Linked DNA regions of Sus scrofa. Each later gene encodes a partner of the first gene's protein in a complex. Links are inferred from orthologs where the notes say so. Each region holds a gene or a part of one and is shown in the gene's direction. Other genes may lie near its edges.

Region 1 (3,651 bases):
GCAGTAAATTAAATTTATAAGAAAATTGTTGCAACAGAGAAGTCTTAGTGAACATTTCTAGCATCTGCTTTAACTTTGTTTTTGCTTTTCGCTGTTGCCTTCAGTGGTGATTTTCCAGAGATCTGGTTTTGGGGTTTTTTGTTTTGTTTTTTTAGAGTCCTGGTTTAGCTCTTATCTTTTTTTTTTGAGTTGTTATTTTTTAAAGTTTTCAAGTCATATATATTAAACCTCTGTTTTAAAACATCTTAAAGTCTCGCAGCAAATAGTAGCTATTTCTGATACAAGGATTTTTTTCTCTAAGTTGGATTCATCCATATATGTAGAAATCAGGATTGTTTAATATTTTGAATAACTGATTTCTAAAATAAGTTTAAATTCTGAGTCCTCATTAGCTTTACTATACATACAAAATACGACTTTTCAAATGTGGGTCATCTTAAGTACGCTCTCATTGGAGACAAGACTTGTGAGTATTCTGCTTTATGTGTGATAGCATAGCTTCGCAGTATTTAAGATTGAAAGTGTTGCTGAGATAATTTCAAAGAACAGCTGTTTCTCTGTGTCTTAATTTTTTGTATCTATACAAATTGTCATTCATCTTTGTGAGGCATGTATAGAAACTTAATTTCAGTTCTAATTTAGACATATATAGATAGGAGTTTGTGAAATTTACAAGTTATGTGGTACATATATCCATTATTGTAGTGTAATAAAAATCATTTTATTTTTTGCTTCTCATTGTGCTTTATAGTACCTACACTTATCATTTTGATATTTAGTACAAAGAAATGTGCTGCATGCATTGAGCATTTTTCTACAAGTTTTTTTTTTTTCCCTGATGTGCTATCTCACATATCACAGGCCTTATTTTTTGAACATTTGAGCAAAAGAAACAGCTGAAACCTCATACAAAACCCTCCAAAATATGAAAATGTGGGGTTTATTTGTGCTAATGCTCTTCTTTTGGAAACATGTGTGTTAAAGGTAAGGTCAATTTATTGCTTTAAACCACCTTGTACATAAAATGTACTTTTCATAATTAAGCTTTGCAAAGCATTGTTCATGAAAGAAAAGATCTCTTTAACTTGTGGAATGAAGAACTTTATCTGAAAGTGCCAGAAAGATTAAAATTAATTATTCCCAAGCCTTCCGAAATATCATGGGAGGATAATTTTCTGAAGGCATTTTATACAAAAATTTGGTCTAAAGCTTTGATATGGTTTTCTAGGACCTTATGGTTGGTGATGAGGCAAGTGAATTACGCTCAATGTTAGAAGTTAATTACCCTATGGAAAATGGCATAGTACGAAATTGGGATGACATGAAACACCTGTGGGACTATACATTTGGACCAGAGAAACTTAACATAGATACCAGGAATTGTAAAATCTTACTCACAGAACCTCCTATGAACCCAACCAAAAACAGAGAGAAGATTGTAGAGGTAAGTTTTTAGATGAGTTGTGCATATATGTGTTTCTGTGGTGTGATGGTAAAGCCAATTGTTTTTTTCTTTCATCTTACCATTGTTGTTGAGAATGGAAAGGATAAAAATAATTGTTATTTCCTCCCAGATGCTATTTACTGAGCACTTAACTATATGCTAGTCATTATTTACAAGTAGAATATATCAGTAAACAAAACAAAATCCTGCTGCCATGGAGCTTACCTTCTAGCAAGGGAAAACAGACCACACACACACACACACAGAGTTAATTGAATGGTTTGTTAGAAGATAATAGATGCAAAAGCGTTTTAAAAAAATGTAGGTTAAGGGGCAGATAGGGAATGTGGGGAGGTTGTGTTTTTCATAGGATGTGATGGTACAAGTCTGTGAGAAGGTGATGTTTAAGTAAAGACAGAGTAAGGGAGTTAGCCAGAGCACTCCAGGCAAAGGGAATACCTGGTGTAAAGGTCTTGAAATGGGAACAAGCCTGGCATATTAGAGAGTCAGCAAGGAAGCCAGTGTGGGAGAGCAACAGGAGATGAGGTGGAAGGAATAATGGGTCAGATGACCTGGGGCTTGTGGCCTCTTACAGAGGAATGGAGGGCTCTTACAGGGAAGGGACACATTCAGATTTAGGTTCCTGTTGACTGCTGTGTTGAGTGTAGAACATAAGGAAGTGAGAGTAGAAGAGAGACCAGTTTGGAGACTTTTTCAATTATCTAGGCAAAAGATAATGATGGTTAGGATTAGGGGTAATAGCACAGAAGGTAGTGGGAAGTGGCCAGATTGTGGCTGTATTTTGAAGGTAGGACCAAAAAATATTCTGATTCCTTAGGTATGGGTAACAGAGGGATAACTCCAAAGGTTTCAGCTTGAGCAGCTAGAGGATGGGGAAAGATTGTAGAACAGAATTTGGAAGGCAGATGGGTCAGGTAGTCAGTTTTGGGCATGTTAGGTCTTCATTAGTCATCCTAGCAAAAGTGTCAAGTGGATGGTTACCTGTCATGTTCAGGAGTAAAGTCTGAAACAAGATAAAAATTTGAGAGTCATGAGGATATAGATAATATGGTTCCCCAAATAAGTGTTGTTAGCTATATAATATATATCATTCCTTATGATTTATATATTTTTTCCTAGCAACTCCTTAAACTATGAAAGATGGGCTTTATTGTATTAGTTTATATTTTAATTGAATTTTAGAACTTTCTAAGTGATTTACAATCACTAATACTTTGTGATGGATAAGTAATCATTGTAATTGCTATTTATTTTTAGTAGCACATTACAGAATCAGATGGCAGAGATTTTTTTTCATTAAACTAAAAAATTACTACACAAGGAAACCTCTTTAGGAAGGTAACACAGTACCAGGATGAAAATCAACTTCTCTTTCAAGCAAAAGTTTAGGCAGATGACATTATGCCTGAGTGCCTTTTCCACTAACTAGCATTTGACTAGGACACATACTGTTTTAATCTGCGAAAATGACAGGACTTCGTCTTTCCTCACTCTAAGGTCTCATATTTGTTTAATACTCCTTTTACTTGTGAGTGCAAACTTGGCTATGATTCATAATGCCCTACTTTAATCTCATCCAGAGAGTCATTTTAGAACTACAAATACTTTCGAATGGTTTTATAAAAACAAATTCTAACAGGCTGTCAAGTTAATAAATGCAAATACAGTTGAACCCTGAACAGCAAAGCATTTAGAGGTGCCAACCCCTCTCAGTGAAGATTTACATATAACTTTATAGTTGGCCCTCTGTATTCAAAGTTCTCCATCCCTGGATTCACCCAACCTCAGATCACATGGTGGTGTAGTATTTATTTATTGAAAAAAAATCTGCAATTAGATGTACCTGTGCAGGTCAAACCTGAGTTGTTCAGGGGTCAGCTGGATAGCATCACTCTTCCTTTTTCATCCCTGTGGAGGGGAAATAAGGATGATGGAATAGAATAGTAGTTAGAACATCTAGTTGCTGGAGTTCCTGCCGTGGTGCAGCGGTAACGAACCTGAGCACGTGGGTTCGATCCCTGGCCTCACTTAGTGGGTTAAGGATCCACTATTGCCATGAGCTGTGGTATAGGTCACAGTCACAGCTTGGATCCTGAGTTGCTGTGGCTGTGGTGTAGGCCGGCAGCTACTGCTCTGATTCAGTCCCTAGCCTGGGAACTTCCACATGCCGTGGGTTTGGCCCTGAA
Region 2 (4,114 bases), on another chromosome or scaffold:
CGGAAGTACCCAGGCCAGGGATAGAAGCCTTGCCACAGGAGTAAGACTGCTGGATCCTTAACCCATTGAGCTACCAGGGAACTCCTGTTGGAGTCTGTCTTTAACACCCTAGATAGCATCCTAGTCTGGCAAAATTTTTTGATCTGTAGAGACAGTTCATGAGAAGTATTTGAAGCAATGAAACGGGTCATTTCACTAACTACAGGTCTTCATTAAAAAAGAGTACTATCATATGAAAACGAAGACCCAATGTAGTCTAAGGCTAAGGCTCATTAACAGAACCCCTCAAGCAACAGCCCACGCACCACAGAGTAGCACTTGACTCTGCCGTATTTGTGCTCTGCTCAACCTTCCCCATCTCAGACTGGGGAGACCCTTACTGCTCCAGCCAGACAAGACTTCTCAGGCCCCAAGACCTCGCCCTCCGCAAGAAGGGTGGCCACTGGGCCATCTCCCTATCCCTGCCCACCTCCCCCTCGGTCAAGGTGACTGCTTCACGCGCAGGGCTCAGAATACTGAGGTCCAAATGCCTTCACTGTCTTGTCAGCACCCTGGACACACTTTAAACGTCTTTAAAATCTCCCAGTACATTAACAAGAGTCACTACAACAGTAAGGCAAAAGCAACCTCCTCTAAGCTCAGTAAGGTAGCGTCCGAAACTCCTAAAATCTGAGACCATACGTTCTCCTAACCCTACGTCACTCCCTGGGCACAAGAACTACTACTCATCCTTCAGGCCTCAGCTGGATAGGTTTCTTCTCCAAGAAACCTATCCAGCACTCGGCAGGCAGCGCTGGGTCTCTTCTCCCGGTGACCCATGCCCCCTCAATCTGGACAGTGATGACACCCAGAGTCCCCGACCATGCACGCCCTCGCCCCTTCCAGAGCCAGGGGCTCCTCCGGTGCAGGAACGAAGCCGAAGAAGAGTGCAGTTATGGCGCCGCCCAGGTGCTGAGCCTTCGCGGGATTGGGCGCCTGTTTCCCAGTCAGGAAGACTTAGGCTACACGAAGATAGGAGTCCCGGAGAGAGTCACAAGGCCGTCTTCCAGAACAGCTTCTCGGCGCTTCCCGCCACACCCCGCCCATCCCTCCTACCGGCACTTCCGGTTCCGGCGTGGCCCGGAAGTGGGCGGGCAGCTGCGGCTGCGCGCGGAGGAGGTGGAGGAGGTGCCGGGTCGCCGCTTCCCGCCCCCGAGCCGGAGCCGGTTCCGAGCGGAGTGGAGTGGAGGTCTGCCCCGGAGAGGAGCTGGCTGAGCGGGCGCCGAGCCCCCGCCATGGCCCGGAACACATTGTCCTCGCGCTTCCGTCGAGTGGACATCGATGAATTTGATGAGAACAAATTCGTGGACGAGCAGGAGGAGGCGGCGGCGGCGGCGGCCGAGCCAGGCCCGGACCCTAGCGAAGTGGACGGGCTCCTGCGGCAATATCCTTCCCCAGCGCGGCGGCCTGGGCTCCCCTTTGGCCTGGCCTTCCCACTCCCCTCATCCCCGGCTCCGGCCCTTCAGGCCGACCTCCCCAGTTCTCTCATCCGTGGTTCCCTCAGGTCAGTCTCTCAGCTCCCTACCGATCCAGCTCCCCTCGGACCAGGCATCCCCACTTCTCTCACCCGGCCTCTCTACTTCCCTTGTCCCCGGCCCGGACCCCTGGAGCCCCTGTATCCTGGTGGGCCGGCTTGCTCGGCGGCCCCAGCAGCATGCCGGACTGGCGTCTGGCTCGGCTGGCCCCTCCTCTGCGAGGCCTCTCCTCTTTCCTCCCCCTTGCCTCCTCATCCCTCTCAGGCTGGCCCTTCCTTGGGTGCCCTGTCACTCCATCTCTCCCAGGCAGGAAACAGGGCCATTCTCGGGCTTGATCGGCGGGAGGGGCCAAGGTGAGCTACCGCTGAGTAATTGAGAGGCCAGGGCGGCTCCCAGACACAGTCCTCTCGGGCTGGATTGCAGCACCACATGAAAATAGGTGGGTGGGTGGCTTCGGGGAAGAAAGGACCCACGTGGGAGCGAAGGCTGCAGCCTTAGCCTTAGTCCGGCCCTGAGGTCTGCGATTCCATCTCCCATCCCAGAATCGTTCTGAACGTTCCAGCTTGATGCCCCTCTTTCTCACCTCTTCGTACTTTCCTACAACCGTTGGGCTTTGGACCTCCATGGTCTTAGCCACTTTCAACAAGTGAGTCTTGGCTCCTTCCCCCCAATAGCCTTCTTGTTCAGAAAGCAGTGGAAAAAACTAGTAGTTTAGAGCTAAGAAAAACCAGGCAACGTAAAGTGAGATGTAAAAGTAGAGCCCCACGACTGGAAATGAGTCTTCTGTGGTCACAGAAAACAAGCATTTAGAAAACAAGATTAAAAATAGAGGTGGTTGTCACAGCCTGCTTGGTCGCTTAGCAGTTTGAGCACAGGAAACTGACTTATTCTCACAGGAAGGATTTTTCTTTATTCAAATAGTGTTACAGGAAGTGCCCACCCCTCCCCCGCACTTGCCAGGGCAAGGTTGGAGGCTCAGGCTGTACTGTATATAAATCAGGTTCTGGGTGTTTAATCATTTGACTCAGCTTGGCAAGTCGAACCCATTTGACTGCCTTTGGGAGGAGTCCTGCAGTGTTCCTCCAGTGGGCCTTGAAACAAAAACCTTCAGACATTTTTTGTTTGAACAAATGTGTTTTCAAAGATGGGGATTCAAACTTGGATTTCCTGCCCCATCAGGATCACCTTTCTTACCCCATTGGTGAAATGGAGTTATGAGAAGGTACCCATGAGGGAACCTTGATTCTGCAGTCTGGTGCAGAACCTGGCCTGTGGGCAGGCATTGCCGAAAGGGCTCCAGAGTCAGGCCTGTGGCTCAGACCATCCACAGAAGGGGAGAACAAGGCCTGTTTATCTGCTGTCTTCGTCCTGGTGCTGTAGGGACTTATCAAAGGTCATGTCTTGGTTATGCTTCTGATGTGATAGGTTCCTTGAGGCTGCTTGGAGGCAGGGGATGGTAGTTTCTTCACTAATGGCAGTGTCAGAAACCTGGTTACCACGGAGGATGTACTTCTTGGGATTGGGGAAAGGGAGGTTAGCAGATGAGAACGGAAATCCTGGCAAATGTAGGGCCGGGAAGGGAGGAGGAAGGAACTAATATTTGCTGAGTCCTTACCGTGTGCCAGGTATTGGATTTACATTAGATTAATAAACTATAGAACAGGTTTCTAGGAGTCTTAGGACAGAGCAAGGGGAGTAGGGATAGGCGTTGATGGGGGACGGGGGTGTGGGGAGTAAGCCTGTCCTAGTGCGTAGAGGGAGGCCTGTGGTGATGGGAGATCACACAGATGAAATGGAGCATGGGCTGCACATCCGCACACACCCAGCTCAGTCATGCTCTGGCTCTGTGACTTTGAGCAGATCTCATTCGCTCTGTGACCCTCGGCATCTACCTCTGTGAAAGGGAGGAGAACCAAGCTTGGCTTACAGGTTCAACAGCGGCATCACCGGACAACATGCCAGAAGGCTTCAGCACAGGGCTGGACACACAGCAAGTGTCCTGGATGTGCACCTAGGGTCTGTGCGTGGCGTGGCAGCCAGAGGTTGTAGAAAGAGCTTGGCTTTGGAATCAGGCATACTTGGGTTTGAAGGCCACCTGGACAGCTTAGCTTTGTGACCCTGGGCAGGTCATTTTCCTTCTTTGAGCCTCAGATTCATTGCCTTTAAAATCAGAATAATCACTCTTGTCACAAAGAACTGTTAGCAGGGATGAGATTACATGTGAAAACACCTGGGCACAGGCTCTGAGCCCTTGTAGGGATTTTTAAGCACTAGATCCTTTTCTTGCTTGCTGAGGTACCTTTTGGTCCCTTGGAGCGGGAATCTGGCAAGAGCAGTGGTTTTGAGTGATTTTGCACTCTCCTCCCCCTAAAGAAATTTGTCTATTTTTGGACATATTTTGATCGTTACAACTTGGGGGGTGCTACTGGGATCCAGTGCAGAGAGGCCAGGGATGCTGGTAAATTGTATGATGCACAGGGTAGACCCTACATCAGTCATCTGGTCTAAAATGTCAGCAGTGCTGTGGTTGAGAAACCCTGATCTACAGGTGACTAGGTGCTGAGTCTGGAGGCCGGCTTGATAAATGGTAGGCCCCTCCT
Region 3 (3,323 bases), on another chromosome or scaffold:
CTTGCTTTTTAATGATTTTTTTAAAAGATCTGCAATTGTAACAGAATGATTAGAATTTAATTCTATTAAATATTATAGAATACTCAGAAATGGGAGGAATAAAAAGGTAATCATATATAATCCCACTACCCATAGATAATTATTACTTTTTGGTGTTGCTCTATGCTTAAAGAGTTTTCCTATGCATGTTTTTTTTATGAAAATGGAATTTTATAACCTGCTTTTTCAGCCATACAGCAATGTGCATGAACCTCTTTCCTTGGCAATAAGTTTATTTCTACAATATCCTTTTTAATGGCTGAGTATAGATAATAGTGTAGTTTATATATAACTCATCTCCTTTTGTCATATGTTTAGATTATTGACCTTTCTCTTGTAAACAGTACTGAAATCAACAGTTTGCGTAAATTCTTAACTTTTTTTTGAATAAATTTCTAGATGTGAATTACTGGATTTTAGACTGCACATTTTTTAAAGCTTTGGTATATATGATATTGCCAAATTGCCCTTCAGAAAAGCTGTATAAACATTCCCTGTAGCAGTCTTTCAGTAATTCTTAAGACCCTATTTACTTATTTATTGTTTAAAATGAAGCCCAGGGAGTTCCCGTCGTGGCGCAGTGGTTAACGAATCCGACTAGGAACCATGAGGTTGCAGGTTCAATCCCTGCCCTTGCTCAGTGGGTTGACGATCCGGCGTTGCCGTGAGCTGTGGTGTGGGTTGCAGACGCAGCTCGGATCCAGCATTGCTGTGGCCCTGGTGTAGGCCAGCAGCTTCAGCTCCGATTAGACCCCTAGCCTGGGAACCTCCATATGCCGTGGGAGCGGCCCAAGAAATGGCAAAAAGACAAAAATAAATAAATAAATAAAATAAAATAAAATAAAATGAAGCCCAGAGCATTGACACCACTGTCGGTAGCTATTCATACATTCTAGAAGCCCCAAGAATCCCCTTAGTTGAATAGTCGTAAGTAATAACTTAGGTTAATGCGTAATAATTATCTAGACAACATAATCTTTTATACGGGGGAAAATTGGGGTTTTTTAAAGTATGTAAAGTCATTGAAATTTTAGTTTTACCACCTTCTGTTTTCATATGGGTGTTTTTTTTTAATCATAGCTTGTGGGTGGGAGGTCATAGCTCTGGGTGCAGGGATGTTTTTCTAAATAGAGTAATTACATGGTCTTTAAGCTGACGATAACAACAGGTGGTAGAGACATACTGCAAAATCCTGACCAGTGGGAGTATTGAAGATAGCACTTTGTGTGGAATAGGAGAAACATTGTGAAAAAGGGGAAGTTAAGGTTCCCTGTGCTGGGCTTGATGGGTGAAAAAATGACTTTGCTGTTGGAACTGCCTTTTATCAAAGAAAAAAGGTCATAATCCAAAACTTAAAATGTTTTCTTAAAAACTTAAATTTTTGCTTATTAATAACTTATTTCTGAAGGATGGTTCAAGATAGAATTGCAATTTAGTTTCCTTTTTTGTTTTTATTTTTAAGATCAAGAAATAGGAGTTCCCATTGTGGCACAGCAGAAATCAATCTGACTAGGAACCATGAGGTTGTGGGTTCAATCCCTGGCCTCGCTCAGTGGGTTAAGGACCCGGCATTGCCGTGAGCTGTGGTGTAGGCTGGCAGCTATAGCTCCGATTCGACCCCCAGCCTGGGAACCTCCATGTGGCTCGGGTGCTGCCCTAAAGAGCAAAAAAAGAAAAAGATCAAGAAATAAAGTGTGTTGATTTAATACGTTGGTAAATTATCACATCTGTCTATCTGTAAGCAAATTCTTTTCTTTCACCTCTACCTTCAAATATATCAAGAATCTGTCAGAGAAAAAAAAAATTTTTTTTTACTTAAATAGGAGTTCCTGCTGTGGTGCAGTGGGTTAATGGTCCTGCATTGTCTCTGTGGCAGCACAGGTTCAGCTCCCCAGCCCCGTGCAGTGGGTTAAGCATCCGGTGTTGCAGCAGCTGTGGTGTAGGTCACAGTTGCAGCTCAGATTTGATCCCTGGCCCAGGAACCTCCATATGCCGCGAGTGTGGCCCTAAAAAGAAAAAAGAAAAAAAAAGCTTTAATAAAATAAAATACCATTAAAAATGATAATAATAATCTGTCCACTTCTGACCACCTCTGCTGCTACCATGCTAGCCAAAACCAGCCTGTCTTTTGCAATAACTTCCAAACTGGTTCCCTGCTTCTGCTTCTGCCTTATCTGAAGCTCTCCCTGCCCTCCCCAACCCCCACGGCCCCAGGCTTACGCTCTACAAGGCAGCCAACATGGTCTTGCTACAATGTAAGATTATATCACTGTTCTTTTGAGAATCTTCCAACATCTCATTTCTCTGACTGGAAGCCAGAGCCCTCCCAAGGGCCCGCAGGGCTTATGTCCTCTTCCCACCTCGGCTCTGACGTCCTGTCTACCCTTCTTCCTCCGCTGCAGCCACCTTGGGTCTTTTTGCTATTCCTTGACCCTTGAATATACTGACCACACATTAACAGCAGTTCCTCCTTCCTGTGCTTGAAATACTTTCCTCAGAGACACCCAAGGTTTCCCCTTTCTTGTCCTTCATGTCTTTGCTCAGACGTCACATTCTCAATGTGACCTTTCTGAAACTACCCCCACGCATGTCTAAATGATCTGGTATTTATTCCCCTCAGGATCGAGCAGGCAGCATTGTCTTGAAGGTGCTCATCTCTTTTAAAGCTAACGATATTGAAAAAGCAGTTCAGTCCCTGGACAAGAATGGCGTGGATCTGCTAATGAAGTATATTTATAAAGGCTTTGAGAGCCCCTCTGACAATAGCAGTGCCATGTTACTACAGTGGCACGAAAAGGTAAGTTATGAGTTGTAGATCTGTATGACTTCTGAATGACTGTTTCCTTTGGAATAGAGAATAAGATTGACAACCTCCCTCACCTAAATAACTATTTTAACTTTTGGGTTATACTTCTTTGTTATTGTGAAGAAATTCCATGAAAATGAAAATTGAGATTCATGCTTACTGGCCTTGAGATGTTGATTTGTTAACAGTGATAATTGTTTATTAAACGCAACCTTTTACTTAAATGATAAACCTTGAACTTTGAACTACATCAAAACATTGAGAAGAAAATAAGCAATAAAATCAAGAATTCCTTAACAATGACCAAAGCGCCCATGGACAGATGAACAGTTAAACAAAATGTGATACATACACATGATGGAATATTATTCAACCTGAAAAAGGACATTCTGGTGCATAGTGTAGCATGAATGAACCTTGAAAATCAGCAGAGTGAAATAAACGAGACACAAAAGGATAAGTACTGTGTGATTCTACT

What was found.
Region 2: the proteins of ACTR2 (region 1) and ARPC5L are in contact, whole or in part, in a cryo-EM structure (PDB 6YW6), measured with the Homo sapiens proteins. The link is inferred for Sus scrofa from reciprocal best matches to the Homo sapiens genes ACTR2 and ARPC5L. Residues at the interface, in NP_005713.1 of Homo sapiens: Tyr225, Glu263, Phe266, Gln267, Arg319, Lys322, Gln323, Ser338; in NP_112240.1 of Homo sapiens: Arg11, Arg12, Val13, Asp14, Ile15, Asp16, Glu20.
Region 3: ACTR2 (region 1) and ARPC5 share a complex: the UniProt entries of both Homo sapiens proteins name them as parts of the arp2/3 complex. The link is inferred for Sus scrofa from reciprocal best matches to the Homo sapiens genes ACTR2 and ARPC5.

The regions. Positions count from the first base shown.
Region 1 is NC_010445.4:76,712,033-76,715,683, reverse strand, and holds part of ACTR2 (actin-related protein 2), read left to right. Parts: intron 1-1,228; coding exon 1,229-1,444; intron 1,445-3,651. UniProt on the Homo sapiens protein: ATP-binding component of the Arp2/3 complex, a multiprotein complex that mediates actin polymerization upon stimulation by nucleation-promoting factor (NPF).
Region 2 is NC_010443.5:265,644,526-265,648,639, forward strand, and holds the start of ARPC5L (actin-related protein 2/3 complex subunit 5-like protein), read left to right. Parts: upstream 1-1,274; coding exon 1,275-1,423; intron 1,424-4,114. UniProt on the Homo sapiens protein: May function as component of the Arp2/3 complex which is involved in regulation of actin polymerization and together with an activating nucleation-promoting factor (NPF) mediates the formation of branched actin networks.
Region 3 is NC_010451.4:124,841,708-124,845,030, reverse strand, and holds part of ARPC5 (actin-related protein 2/3 complex subunit 5), read left to right. Parts: intron 1-2,659; coding exon 2,660-2,836; intron 2,837-3,323. UniProt on the Homo sapiens protein: Component of the Arp2/3 complex, a multiprotein complex that mediates actin polymerization upon stimulation by nucleation-promoting factor (NPF).